Stegostoma tigrinum: one gene and its partner. The protein of the gene in region 1 interacts with the protein of each later gene in a pairwise test. Links are inferred from orthologs where the notes say so. Each region holds a gene or a part of one and is shown in the gene's direction. Other genes may lie near its edges.

Evidence for each region.
Region 2: the proteins of rapgef4a (region 1) and switch-associated protein 70-like interact in a two-hybrid assay, tested with the Homo sapiens proteins (2 studies listed by BioGRID and IntAct). The link is inferred for Stegostoma tigrinum from reciprocal best matches to the Homo sapiens genes RAPGEF4 and SWAP70.

Annotation. Positions count from the first base shown.
Region 1 is NC_081360.1:48,901,000-48,908,794, reverse strand, and holds the start of rapgef4a (rap guanine nucleotide exchange factor 4), read left to right. Parts: upstream 1-4,783; 5' UTR 4,784-5,201; coding exon 5,202-5,284; intron 5,285-7,795.
Region 2 is NC_081370.1:27,202,157-27,210,084, reverse strand, and holds the start of switch-associated protein 70-like, read left to right. Parts: upstream 1-4,926; 5' UTR 4,927-5,043; coding exon 5,044-5,139; intron 5,140-7,928.

The DNA of each region.
Region 1 (7,795 bases):
CATTAAATAAGTTAAACAATGCAATACTCTACAGGTGACGTCTCACCCATGGCCTGTATAAATGTAGCATATGCTCCCTACTCCAATATTCATCTCATAACATTTTATTAGTGGTCCTCATGACTCTCTGTACCTGCATTTATCCTTTTGGATTCATATATGAGGATACCCAGATCCCATTGAATCTCAAAGTTCTGCAACCTCTCACCATTTAGATTGTACACTTCTTTTTAATTTTTCCTGCCCAAATGGATAATTTCACATACCACATTGGTCACATCCTTTCCCATTTACTTAACCTATCTACACACTTCTTTGGTGTCATTGTTGTCTTCACAACTTACGTTCCTAACTTACCTTTGTGTTGTCAGAACATTTGGCAACCATGCCTTCTGTCCCTTTATCTAAGCTATTTATATAAATTATAAACAGTTGAAGTCCCAGAACCAATCCCTGTGTGACACCATTTGTTACATGGTGCTAATCCAAAAAAGACCATCAGGCCTACTATCTGCTTCTTGATAGCCGTTGTCTGCTGTTCTTTATATTGACCAGCCATTTGACCTGCAACTCATCTCTGCACATTTATATGCTTTTTCCTTATGTTTGAAGTTTTCATCAAGCTCTTTAGTTCACCACAGATGATAGGTCCTCGCAGTAGAATTTTTCTTCAAAGTATGAACATACTAATTCAGAGTTTTCTAGAAAATAACATCCTTTAACTATCTGCCACTGTGTCTGTATTGAGAGCAGACCTTGACGAATTATAATGCCCTGAGGATGTTAAAGGTATGATTTAATTGGCAGTTCTTTCTTTCTTACTGTGTATTTCAGATTTAAAGTGTGCAAGACAAAAGTATGGAATGATCATCCTCCCTATTGTCACTGATCTTCATTGCTTTGAACGACACAAATAGGAAGTGATCAATTTTCTCTGAAACCTACCAAACAGGGCAGGAATATTTCATCAATGGGTGAATAATAGGTATGCTAGAAATTGCTAATGACTAAGTATCATCACTTTTTCGTAAGATTTCCCATCCATATTTACAAATTATTTTGCTCAGCATAGATTTGTTGTAATTACTGAGTTAAAAAGCTGCATACTTTCAGTCTAACATAGGAGGTTAGGATGAAATGTGACACATTTTCTTCATTACAGGAGATAATGATTTATTCACCCTACGAGGTTAAAATAGAATAATTTTCACTGGTTAGGTGGCTTGACACCTGGAAGGTACACATTTGGTACTAAATTAAATAAAATGAAGGTATGCTGTTGCAAATTCAGCTCTGTTTTAGACCATAAGGAGACCATAAGACATAAAACCATAAGACATAGGAGTGGAAGTAAGGCCATTCGGCCCATCAAGTCCACTCTGCCATTTAAATCATGGCTGATGGGCATTTCAACACCATTTCCCTGCACTCTCCCCATAGCCCTTGATAAGGGTTCTGGTTCAGTGGTGTTTGTGGTTTCTGTAAATAGTCTGAGTATTTTTAATTGAGTTAACTCACAATCCTTTTTAAGCCTCTTGCATAGCAGCTTATCACCTGAACTGGGTATTTGAATCTTGTGTGACTATGTTGTCAACTTGTTCTCAGACAGACCATGCAAACACTTAGCAAAACAAGTGCAAACACAAAGCAAAAGATTGCCTTTTCTCACAATGAGAGAATGTGCAGAGTAAAAGTTATCATCTGATCTCTTTCATACAATCAATGCAGCTTGTGATCACAATAATATAAAACAATGAATACACTATGCTTCCCCACAAAGTTAGTTATCTGGCACCAAAGAAATTGCATGTTGTTTAGGCTATAATGAGGCAATTTCAAGAGCTGTTTATTAGCATCTCATCCACCTACTGTTTCAAAGCCATATTTTTAAATAGTTGTCCATCTCTATCCTACTTCAACCCATTTTCTGCTGTATACTTTTCCTTGCCCTTCAGAGCTGCAGATTAAAGTTTTCAGATTTCCAATGCTCTACTCATCTTACTCTGTCACGCTGGTTTGAGGATGACTTGTTTCCATTCTGATTCAAGGAGATATGAGATCACTGATAAATCCAAAGCGTCTCCTGTGGACTTGGTCCCATGCTTGGAGGGGTGGCTAGACGGAAATTTGTGTGCCTTCCGATGCCATAACTTTGCCTCTGTGTGCTTAATGAAATGTCTCAATGCTTTCCAGAATGAATCTTCTTGATCAGTCATAAGCCAGGGGTTGTCATGAGTAGACGGGGATGCTTTGAGGACTTCGATAACGTGTTTCCACTGTTCACCCAGCAGACTTCTGCCTCCGCCTGTTACATATGAAATAGAAGACAGAGTAGGCACGCAGTCTGTCACACTTGCCCCACTATTCAATAAGATCATGGCTGATCTGTCCCAGTCCTCAACTCTTTCCTCATGTCAGCTCTTAATAGTTCTCAATTTCTCAATATTTTCAAAAATCTATCTACTTTTTCGTTAAATACTTTCAAGTGATCTAGTCTCCACGAATTTCTGGGAGTTGAGAATTCCAGACATTCACTACCCTCTGAGGGAAAACATTTCTTTGCACCTGAGTTTTAAATAAACATCACCTTATTCTACAATTGTGGTCCCTAGTTTGAAATCCCCACTACTGGAAATATCTTCTCAGTGTGAGCCCTGCATCAAAATCTTATGTCTCAATAAGATCACTCCCTCATTCTTCTAAACTCTAATAAAGAAAATGCCTAACTTGTTTAGCCTTTCTTCCCAGGAAACAGCCCAGTGAATTTATTTTGAATTGTCTCCAATACCAGTATATTCTTTACTAAATACGCAAAACAAATGTGTGCACAGTTCTCCAGGTGCAGCCTCACAACACATCCTGTGTTGTTGTTAACAAGATTTCCCTGATTTTAAACTCCAACTCTGTTACAAGAAAGGCTAAAATTCTAGTTTCTTTCTTATTTACTTTCTGTTTCCGAGTTTTGAGTAGAACAGTAGCTTCAGGAGTGTGATGCCTGTCTTAAATGTCCTGTTCAACAGAACTGGTTTTGACTGACCAAACTTATGCTGTTATTTTAGGAGAGGATGTTTTTCTATCATCCCTGAACTCACAAACTCACAATGGCTACCAGTTCAACAACAGCTTAATTTAACATTCCCATCATTGTATTCACATCTCTTCATAGTGCCCCAAGCTCTGCACCCCCGTAGGAACTCTGCATTCTTCTAAATCAGTCTTCCTGTAATCTGCTGACTTACTTTGCCCTCACCATCAGCAACGACATCTTTAGCTCTCTCTTTTGATACATGTAGAAGTGAAGTAACTTTTGAAAATATCTTTCTTGTGGAAGAGGTCAAAAGTCCCCAAATTGTGACTGCATTTTAACAGAACGGATCTCAGAACATAATGTGACTTACCAGAAATAATGCCATACAATAGCTTTTTATAGCTACAGCTAATAGTTGGGAGGCAATGGCCTCGTGGTATATTTGCTGAATTGTTAATCCAGAGACTCAGATAACATTCTGGGAACCTGGGTTTGAATCCCACCATGGCTGATGGTGGAATTTGAATTCAATAAATATCTGGAATTAGGAGTCTAATGATGACTGTGAATCCATTGTTGATTCTTAGAAAAAAACCCCATCTGGTTCACCAATGTCCTTTAGGGAAGGAAACTGCCATCCTTATCCGGTCTGGTCTACATATGACTCCAGACCCACAGTAATGTGGTTGACTCTTAAATGCCCTCCAGGGATTGGGAATGGGCAATAAATGTTGCCTCACCAGTGACACCCTCATCCTGCAAATGAATAAAGAAAAAAATTATTGAGGATTTTAAAAGGGAAATGTATAAATATTTGGGGAAATACAGTATGGTTAAGGACAATGCAATGGGACTAAATAAGCAGGTATTTTGGAGAGCTATATAGGTGCTCTGGGCCTAATTGATTTTGTGTTTTACATTTCTAGCTGAAGAACATGTGCAATCTTATATATCGTATACAGTCGATCCTTATGAACAGAAATATTGTAGTAATTTCAGTGCTAATTCATCTGTCTTTTTTTTAAAATACTGCATAGATTCAGCACTATTTGTTTAAATCTCCAGGTCAAAAAAAGTCCCTGTTTTAATTCCTGTAAGATTGTTTAAAGATTGTGGTAAAGTCACATTCTACATTGATGCAGTGCTATTCTACAAAAAAAGCACAAAAAACTGAACCTGTCGAATCTGAAATTGAAAATAGCAAATTCTACAGACATTGAACAAGTCAGGGAACTGTATTGTCCTTTTGGGTGTAAGCGCTTTTTCATTGCTCTTCTAAAGTTGCGTAAATAAGATTAATTGGATAGTGAGCCTAATGAATTATGTGTTCAAGTCAGTTCCCCAGTATTAATAATCTTCACCCTAGATTAATCAATTCAGCCGCAACAAGAAACTGTCAGGCAAGAGATCTGTGCAAGCGATGTAAACGGTAGAGGCAAATTAATGATCCATACAGTAAGTCCTCAGTGCTAATAATAATAATAATGCATCGGCTTTTGAAATCTTGTTCACCTTGCTTTGAATTGTGAAGACTTCGCCCTCTATTGCAAAGTATCTAACTGATCTTAAATGGAAAGCGTTAATATAGTTAGGACCAAGTTAAAACATAATCAGCATTGTAATCCGGATATTTGTAATGCTGATACTTTTTACGTTGAGTGTTAACGCCTTCAATTTTACTGCCAGCGCAATGTTGAATGTGTACACCGAGCCCTACCGGCAGTTCAGTCGGATAGTTTATCGGAAGACGGCAAAGTGCAGGATGTCACGTGTGGCGTGGAATGAATGTGGAGTACAGTAGCCGAGCAGCAGGTTTCACTGTGAGATGCTGAACGTTTGTACTTGTTGCACAGAGGGGCTGGTGTTCAGTCGGCAGCGCAGTGGTATCTCTCACCCCCCCTGCTGTCAGCTCTCCGCAGCGGCTTGGGTCCTTGCGTTCCTTCTCTCTCTTGGCTGCAGACAGCTGCCGTGGCCATTCGACTGCAAACTGCACTTTCCCTTTTGCTGAGGCACGAAGCGCTCCTGTCTAGCTTCAGCACTCTGACGTCAAAAGGGGTTGTTTTTGCTCCCAGCTTTGGAGCTGTAAATGTGAGGAGATGATTTTCGCAGCAACCAGCTCCTCCTGACTCCGTCGTTCTCTTGTTTGCTACAAGTCCGTGCAGCTGCTGAGCCCATGATCTCCCTGGCCATGGTGGCTGCTCATACCTCGTCCCAGTCCTCAGCATCATCAGAATGGATCTCTTGCCTGGATAAAAGGTAGCGAATGTCAACTGGGAACCCCCGACATAGGGCAGGAAGTAGAAATAATGCGATCGAGATTTCTTAGCTGTAGCGCGACTGGGGAATTCTTTCTGTCTGCAGAAAATGAAATCAAGGGATGTGATGCTAACAAAGACGCTTAATGATTTTGGAATATCCCACAGTAGCAGGCAGGCAGGATGGAAGATGGTAACGCGGATAAGAGATGCTATCCCTCGATCGCTGCGTAATATCGATATTAAAATAAATCTATATACATACATATCATGCAGTGCAGGCAATTTTCCTTGTTTCTAAATCAGACTGGTTTATTTAAAACGCACAAGTAAGCAACGCGGTAGGAGAATTGTGTTATTTTGTGCATTTAAATCCTACACAAATATTGAAGCTGTATTTAAATATATACCTTTAAAAGCGACACTGGTCATTTTTGCAGACAATTACTGCAGACTTAGATTTTTAACGTTTTATGTGAAAAATGTACATTCCTGAACCGCGTGTTTCAGTGGGGATAAGATGGTATGAGTTTAGTGTCCATTTCCATCAGTTGGAACAAAACAGTGGCTAAAAGGCAAGACAGCGTGGAGATGTAGGCCTCCCTTTTACATCAAAGCGATGTTACAGAGTTTGTATCCTTTAAATTAGTAACGTTGCATGGTTTATTCTTGGGCAACTACGGATTTCCTCTGGCAGTAATGACTCGAAATGCGTTCGTGAAATCTGTCAACATTTTGTACTTGAAATTACATACGACCTTTTAAATCTGTGGCTCTAGTAAAATAGATACCCGATAACTGAACTGTGCTCCTAATATATATGCAGAAATTGTGATGGTTACTACTTGGTACCTTTCAAAATGGTTTGGTTTTAAAATACACACAAACACGTTTATGTTTATATCCACAGGACAGTAAACCCCAATAAGCAAACGCGGAAAACTTTGAGTGTGTACGTCATTCAGTGATATATTGTGGATTGACTAAAATTGAATATCAATTTAAAATAGTGTTTGAACAACCAATTCCAAGGTAGTAATACAAGCTCAAATATTAGATGACAGTTAACCTTGTGAAAGCTTTGCATCTGGCATTGTTATATTATAGCAGATAATAATCTAAAAAAAGGTAGCTAATAAGAAAGTAAAGGCAATGAAAGCAAATTATGTAGAAATTCATATCAGGTAATGAGAAACATTAATGTTCACTTAGGCTTATCAAATCATAGAATTATACAGTACAGAAGAGACCGTTCATCCCATTGAGTCTGTACAACTAAAATGCCCTACTACCTCCTAGTCTCACTTTCCTGTACAAGCCCCATAGCCAATGTTAATGACACTTCAAGTGCTTGCCCACCTACTTTTTAAGGATTGTGAGAGTTCCTGCCTAAACTAAGCTCCCAGGCGGTGCATTCCAGTTTCCCAACTCTCTGGGTGAAAATGCTTTTTTTCACATCCCCTCTAAACCTCCTGCCTTTCACTTTATAATTATGACACTTCGACTAAGAGGAACAGCTGCTTTCTATTCACTTTTGTCCAAGCCCATCATAATCCTTTACAGCTCCATCAGAATCCACCTCCCCCAACAACTTTCTCTGCTGTGAAGAAAAGAACCCCAACTTATTTAGCTATTCTTCAGAGCTCCAGTGCTCCATCCCAGGCAATATTCTGGTGAATCTCCTTTGCACCCATTCAGTTCAATCTCTTCTTTCATATGCACACGGTACTCCAGCTGTGGCCTAACCAAAGTGCTGTACAGATCCAACAGAACCTCTCTGCTCATAGAGTCTATGCCATGACTGATAAAGGCAAGGATCTCATACTCTGCCAGAACATAGAACAGCACACAACAGAAACAGGCCCTTCTGCCCACTGGTATGTGCCAACCGGTATGCCATTCTAAATTAATCCGATCTGCCTGGACATGATCCATATCTCGCCATTCCCTGCCTGTTCATGTGTCTGTTGCTATCATAATCTGTTTCTACCGCCTCCTGTGGCAGAATGTTCCATGCGCATATCACACTCTGTGTAAAAAAAAATTACTTCATACATCTCCTTTAAACTTGCCCTCTCTCACCTTAAACCTGTACTCCCTGGTATTTGAGATAATGAGAACTGCAGATGCTGGAGAATCCGAGATAACAAAGTGTGAAGCTGGATGAACACAGCAGGCCAAGCAGCATTTTAGGAGCACAGAACCTGAAGTTTCGGGCCTAGACCCTTCATCAGAAAAGGGGGATGAGGAGAGGGTTCTGAAAGAGATAGGGAGAGAAGGGGAGGCAGATCAAAGATGGATAGAGGAGAAGATAGGTGGAGAGGAGACAGACAAGTTAAAGGGGCAGGGATGGAGCCTGTAGAGGAGTGTATAGGTGGGGAGGTAGGGAGGGGATAGGTCAGTCCGGGGAGGATGGACAGGTCAAGGGGGTGGGATGAGGTTAGTAGGTAGAAAATGGAGGTGTGGCTTGAGGTGGGAGGTGGGGATAGGTGAGAGGAAGGACAGGTTAAGG
Region 2 (7,928 bases), on another chromosome or scaffold:
CTATTCTAGTGCCAATACATCTGCGTACTCACCCCTTCACTGATGAAGAGACCAGATGAGTCAAGTTTAGGGCAGAGGATGATGTGCATTTTTATTGTGTAAAGGATGCAGCCGACAGGCCTGTCCATGCATAACACGTGTACATGCTATTTTTGCCTATAACCTGTTATGATCCCAGCTAATGATATTAAACAAGTCAGATTTACGAGCGGATAGTGACCTGATAAACTGAGTTGTATTTTTTCTTTTGTTTGTTGAGGAGGTCAGTCACTGAGCATATGCACAATAGACTCTCTATGCACTTTAAATAAAAGAAAACAAAAGTTGGTTAAACAAGAGAAGAGCATAAATTATATGACCCTACACAAGAACTATTGGAACAATCTCATTACAAATATCAGAAAGACAGGTTCATCCCTTTTGCCCTGGCAATAACCTCACTCAAACCTCAGTAAATGAGTCAATATTATCTCCTTGTCAAAGCTGGTGAGGCTGTAATCTGTTTCTTCCAGCAACTTGTCTATCCATTACATGCTATTTTCTTTGATTAATGTTTCTCCCCTTTGTTAATATTTCTCAGATACTTGACGCACATTTGTGGGAATTGTAGCTTCTGAGCATTGTGTTAAAGATTTCTTAAATTAATTAGAGGTCTTTTCATCTCATTCCCATTTATCAGTTCAAAAGAACTGAAATTCTAGGGGCATCCCAAATGAAAATCATTAGGATTTCTTGTCAATAAGTTCTAATCATGATCTTTAATGTCATTTTTGTAATGATACTTGAGATTGTTGACAACAAACTAAGGATATAAACTGTTTTTATTTCCCAAACAATTTATTTATTTATTCACTGAAATTAAACTCCTTACAAAGTGGAGAGGGAGAAAAATGCTAACAAGGATATCACTAGTCACTCTGTGAGAGGGTAGGCGAGGGGGTGCGGGGTAGGGGGGTGGTAGAAGAGAGTCCAGCGTTGAATCCCTGCTCATCTGGCAAGTGGAGGAAATGTGGCGCATTGAAGACCTTCATCTGAGAGCTCCACTACCCAATTTCCTGATTTGAAGCTTAGCCTGTGGAAGATGGGAGACACAAAGCCACCTCTAACTGATTGGGAGATAATAAAATGTGAGGCTGGATGAACACAGCAGGCCAAGCAGCATCTCGGGAGCACAAAAGCTGACGTTTCGGGCCTAGACCCTTCTTCAGAGAGGGGGATGGGGGGAGGGAACTGGAATAAATAGGGAGAGAGGGGGAGGCGGACCGAAGATGGAGAGTAAAGAAGATAGGTGGAGGGGGTGTAGGTGGGGAGGTAGGGAGGGGATAGGTCAGTCCAGGGAAGACGGACAGGTCAAGGAGGTGGGATGCATCCCAAAACCAGTCCAACCTGTCTCTGCCTCCCTAACCGGGTCTTCCTCTCACCCATCCCTTCCTCCCACCCCAAGCCGCACCCCCAGCTACCTACTAACCTCATCCCACCTCCTTGACCTGCCCGTCTTCCCTGGACTGACCTATCCCCTCCCTACCTCCCCACCTATACTCTCTCCACCTATCTTCTTTACTCTCCATCTTCGGTCCGCCTCCCCCTCGCTCCCTATTTATTCCAGTTCCCTCCCCCCATCCCCCTCTCTGATGAAGGGTCTAGGCCCGAAACGTCAGCTTTTGTGCTCCTGAGATGCTGCTTGGCCTGCTGTGTTCATCCAGCCTCACATTTTATTATCTTGGAATCTCCAGCATCTGCAGTTCCCATTATCTCTAACTGATTGGGATCAGGTTGTCTTGATGCTGGGTTGTGTGTGAATACAACCCAAAGTAAATTCCATCTGAGCTTGAATACTGGCATGAGACTGTTGGTCAACAAATGCCATTAGGAGTTTAAAAAAGATGGTGTCCATGCAGAGGGTCCGAGAGGATTCAATTTAATTTGTCTTCTGAAGTAAAATGACATAATTCCACCCCCTGTCACATTATGCATCCTTGAGATTGCTTATGTGAACTGGCCAGTTGCATCTCTTTTTTTTTCTTGATTTATCCCTTAACTGTGGGGGCTAGAATCAAGGAATCATAGACATTAATTAGGTTATTTTGTAGTTTAACTTTATTAATGACACAGTAGGTTTAGTAGAACAAATTGTTCAATTTTTTAAAGTTACAAACTTGGTATCTGGTTTCAGTTATTCACAATGTCAGTAGTTTTTTTTTCTAAACCAGCAGCAAAAGATAGGGCCTGCACTGAAGCATCATTTCATGTTTGTCATGTCTGGGTAAAGCACAAGATCATTCACAGATGGGGTGAAGTAATTTCTTTGCTCATTAACAGGATGAGGGTGTTGCAGGCGAGGCATCATTTAACACCCATCCTGAATTGCCCAGAGGGCGGTTCAGTCAAACACATTGCTGTTGGTCTGGAGTTACATGTAGGCCAGGCTATGTAAGGGTGACAGTTTCCTTCCCTGAAGGAATTTAGTGAACCAGACGAGTTTTTCCCAACAACCTGCTGTGGTGAACCTGGGCCCCGGGAACGTTACCTGGATCTCTGTATTAGTAGTCCAGTGATAATAGCACTAGGCTATTGCCACCCCTATATAAAGAAACAATGACCCTAGGTTGCTGACTGTGTATTCAGGGACTAAGAATAAATAATTTCAGCAACCCAGAGCATGCCACTTGGTGCTTCCACAGCAACAAGATAAATGTCTTTCAGTTCTGAAGAAGGGTCACTGGACCTGAAATGTTCACTCTGCTTTCTCTCACAGATGCTGCCAGACCCACTAAATTCCTCCAGCAATTTCTGTTTTTGGTTGTGAACAGATCATCATGTTCATCTCAAATTTGCCCCTTCAAGTGGACATGGGTTAGCTGCCTAATGCCAACAGCTATTTGAGTTACAAAGCCATGGATAATTGGAGATAATTACTATCCAAAATGATATGGAGTTGGAAGCCAAATTAGGTCATTCAAAATTGTTCTGTGATCAGGGTCAGGGGGAGGACAGCAGGTGAGGCATGTGTGACATCCCAGAGGATTAAAACTGAGGAGGCTTATCCTCTGCAACTGCCCAACAGTTATGAGGTTCTTGCAAGCTCTGCAGGTGAGAGTAAGGACTACAGGGAGAATGAGCAAACCAATCAGAGCACCTTGGCACAGGGAGTCATTCAAGCAGAGAAGGAGAAAAGAATGTTGTTGTGATAGGGTACAGTATAATTAGGGAATAGATACTGTTCTCTGCAGCCATGAGCAGGCTGTGTTGCCTGCCCAGTGCTAGGGTTGAGGACATCTAAGAGCTGAAGAAAAACTTAGAGAGGGATCCAGTTTCATTGTCTACATCAGTACCAACAACTGGAAAATGAGATCTTGCTGAAAAGTCTTTAACAGTTAGCTAATTTAAAAGTAGAATCTCTGAGGTAATAATTTCTAGATTAATACTTGAGCCACAGCCAAACTGCTGTAAGATAAATAAAGGCAAGTTTAAGGAAGGAAACTGGCATCCTTACCTGGTCTGGCCTACATGTAACTCCAGACCTACAGCAATGTGTTTGACTCTGAACTGCCTTCTGGGCAATACATGCTGCGTAGCCCTCTGTTATATGTCTAGTTATTACCTCAGATGGGGTGTTGTGCACAATTCCCTTCTGTGTTCCTTTCCCAAGCCACACATCATCCTGACTGGCAACTATATTGCCGTTCTTCACTGTCACTGGGTCAAAATCCCAAGGCCCTCTGAACAGCAATGTGGGTTTGCCTACCCATAGAGACTGTAGTGCTTTAAGGAGACATCTCAACACCACCACCTTTTCAAGGCAGTTTGAGGTGAGCAATAAATGCTAGCCCAGATAGCGATGACCACATCTCAGTAAGTTATCATTTTAACATGGAGGTGCCAATTTCAAATGATGCCAAGACCTTGGAGAAGGTGCATAGGATATCCACACCCACGATGAGAGAATTCAGTTATTTTGGGAGATTGGTGAAGCTGGGGTTGCGTTCTTCGGGTAGAGAAAGTTAAGGGGAGACCTAACAATTATTATGTTTTAACTAGAGCAAGTAGGAAGAAACTTCTTTGGAGAGTGAGTTCATAAGCAGAGTTTATAAATTTAAATTACTGGCAAAAGAACAAGAGAGGACACAGCCACATTTCTTGTACAGAAAACTTTTGTGACCTAGAATGCACTACCTGACACAGGGGTGGAATTAAATTATTTAGGAAATTTTATGAGGCAATTGGACATGTATTTGGCAAGTACAACTAAATTCGACTGTTCTTTCTAAGAACCAGTACAGACATGATGGCCTTATTGGCCTGCCGTGCTCTAAGATTCTGTAATTCCGAAGTCTTAAACCAAAAATTTCGAGGTTTTGAAATGAATGACGCCGAACAAGTATAAATTATGACGCATTGTATTTTTTATTTGGTTCATGGATTATTTAAAAATGATGAAAGTAAAATATCGGCAAAAGTCTTCAAGTTCTAATTGCTCACCAGTCATAGTTGTTTCCACCATTTAAGTAACCCCGTAGAAGCGTTGCATGGGTAAAATTGAGAGGTGCTTCTTATTGGAGATTGTCGGTTGTAAAATTTGAGTGATTTTAGCCGATGACAATTCTGCCCTGCTTTGCGCCAACTTGTTTAACCGTTCAGAATTGACGTACAACTTTGGAAGAATATTGAGCACTTGATCGGGTTAAAAACACTTTGTCCCTTTGATAAATTGCTTTTGAGTATTATTTCCTCAATGTTTCTGGTTTGAACAAGCACCTTCGCGTTTCTGAAGTGGAGTACAGTTTAGCCATAAAATACATCTACGTGTAAATTCTGTGATTTACTGTTTGATTTAAAGCGTGAGTTTTCTGCAATGGTGCAGTCTGAGGAATTACAATGAGTCCCTTTCAGTTTGGGCACTGTAGTTTGTGGGTGGAGTTCCTCTCTGGGAATGTGAACTGCGCCGAGCCGGTAACGGACGTGCGGAAGGGTTGGGTTACACCGCTGGGAGATTGCGGCCAGTGACTGTACAGTGAAAGCAAAACGGTCACGTAAGAGACAGGAATGGCGCTTCGAGATGAGCTTTTGAAAGTGATCTGGCATGCATTTACCGCTCTAGACGTCGACAAATGTGGAAAAGTGTCCAAATCCCAACTCAAGGCGAGTTTGAGATTCTTTTTGTTGAGTTTGGTAGCTATTTGCATTAAGATAGGCTGGAGGTGAGGGGACCCGGGCTGTTTTTCGAGGGGGTGGAGAGCGGGATCAGAGAGCGGCAGGGCCGTGTTGAGAGGGGTTTGTTGGACTGTGGGAGCTGTACTGGTCTGGCCAGTGTTAAAGGGGTGAGGGTGCTGGACTGGTCAGCGCTGCTGTGTTGAGGGAAGTGAGATGCTGGTTAGAGTTGAGGGTTGTTTTAGGCTGTGGGACCTGTGCGGTGTGGGCTGTGTTGTGTTAAGGGTCTTGTTGGACTGAAGGCGCTGTGCTGTTGTGGGCTGTGTTGGCTCAGGGCTGGACTGAGGAACCTGTGTTGATGTGGGCTCTGTTGGGTGAGGGCTGGACTGTGGCAAGGGCTTTCCTGGACTGTGGGACCTGTGTTGGTGTGAGCTATATCGGGCGAGGGCAGGGCTGTATGAGAGATACACCAGTTCCTCCTCTTCCTTGGCATAGACCTGCAGGCTGCTACTGTATACTTTATGCTTTACTGTTACCATTCATTTTCCACTAAAACTGTGACACTTGGTATCTGATCTCAGCAATGAAATTTGAAAACAGATTGTGCAAGATCCTTTTAGTGATTGTCGAATGTTTGAGGGATTTCTAGAATTTGATCTGCCTTGTGAAGGGATGAGGTTATTTTCAAAGTTCATCCACATTTTTTTCTATAAAATGTAACTGAGAAAAATTCATTTCTTCTTTAAAGAAGAGATTTTTAAAATTTCTTTCAGCAGGCCATGAATAATAGACTAATTTTCTGTTCTGTCTTCATTTGCAATGCTATTTCTTTTGTGTGTTCCCTGTTTTAAGATGTATTAGTGAATGGTGAAATGCTAAATATTTACTGCATTGTGCACAATGTGTTTGTTTCCTTGTGTATTTAATTGCCATCAATTAAGGAACTTTGTTAGTGAAACTGCCTTGTAGGCTGGATTTTAATATGTAGTTGTATAATCCAGGACATTGTGGGTCAACCTGTGGCACATGGACTGCAGTGGTTCTAGAAGGCACCTCACCACCTTCTCAAGGGTAACTAGGGATGAGTAGTAAGTGCTGGCCAGCCAGTAACCCTCATGTCCCACAAGTCGATATAAAAACATTTGCACTTGGAGATGCATGTAATTAGAAGGGGTGGGGGAACAGAGAACTTGGCTCAAAATATTGAGGAAGTAAGGATGAAGTCACATTATCTGCCTAAGAATGCTGCTCCTGAATGTACTCTTCTGTTCCCATCTCTCCATTCCTGTGTTGAAATGCAACTCAGCTCATTATGATGATCCTGCTAGAAACCAGAAATGCCAATTTTTTAGAATTATGCTGATTATCCTGGCTGAGCTGCATTCTCTTCTTTTATTAGCTGCAATCAATGTTAATACACTGCATGATTTTGACCCTGATCCTACCCTGTGCCCAGTGTGCTTAAGTGATAGTTAGGTAACTTGATGTTTTTAATTTCTGTACTTGAAGAAGTCTGATCATTTTTTGGATTGTTTTTGCCCATTTTTGTGTACATCAATAAGATTGCTAGGAAATTAGGTTGTGAATGACAAAATGGTCAGTGAATGGTTACAGTTTCCATTGTGACTTCTTAATTGTGTGCCTGAAGGGAACTCAGATCATTTGTTACAGGGACTGTCATAACCGAGAGTTAGTGCATTCCAAAGCCTCCGGGATGAAACTGGTGCTTTTGTTGATGTGCATTTCAAATTATTTTCAATGGGAAAGCAGGAGCATATCTGCATCAATTCCATATCCTTGCTCTTCTGTGAAATAGGATATTTTAGAAAATTTCATCCTATGTTTTTAATAGTTGTAATCATCTCACCCATGCAAATGGTTAGCATGAGGTCAGAAGTCAATGCCAGGTTGCAGTCTAATAGATTTATTTGAAATCACAAACTTTCACTTTGGGGCAATGCTACAAAAGCTTGTGATTTCAAATAAATTTGTTGGACTATAACCTGGTGTTATATGACTCCTAACCTTGTCCACCCCAGTCCAATACTGGCACCTCCACATTGTGTTTAATAGGTGATGAGGTCCCAGGTTCCACCCTCGTTTCTAATTTAGGTAGTCTTAGGGTGTATTCAGATGCCACAGTTGGCTTCAATTCATTTTGAGATAAAGAAATGAAAAATAAAAGTTTTTGCTGCAATTCAGTGAGTTATGCTGTGAAGGACAGATGTAGGAGTTTAAGATTGGGTTTAACTGTGATGCATCAAGTGGTCAAATCATCTACCTATGTCCATTGTCTGCATTATACCTGAAGAATAACCACTTGGGTGGAGGAATTGGAGGATTTGTTATGCACCATTACTTTTAGTGGAATTTAAAGTAAAAGCGATAGCTCTGCGGGGAGGAAAAGAATATTCCATTAAATTTGTTTTTAACCTCTTTTTATTTAAAAGATAACTTAGTAAAGCGTAACCAGAGCTAAGGAAGGCATCAGATGCAGTCCACACAGAACTGTGATTGTCGTACATACAGATTATGTTTGAGGCTTCTAGCCTTGTTTTTCCACTGATTGTTACCAAAAATTGTTTGCTACGTATCCAGGCAGCTACTCTGCTTTCAGAAGTCATATGGAATCAATACTATGCATCGGGTAGCAGTTTTAATGAGGGCATTTGTATTTCAGTGGCTCAGATCAGCTCACACATTACAGGCAAGGAAGTGACCCTCCATCATCATAGCTTGTATGATTCATCTAATCTCTGGATGAACTTTTTAGGTTATAG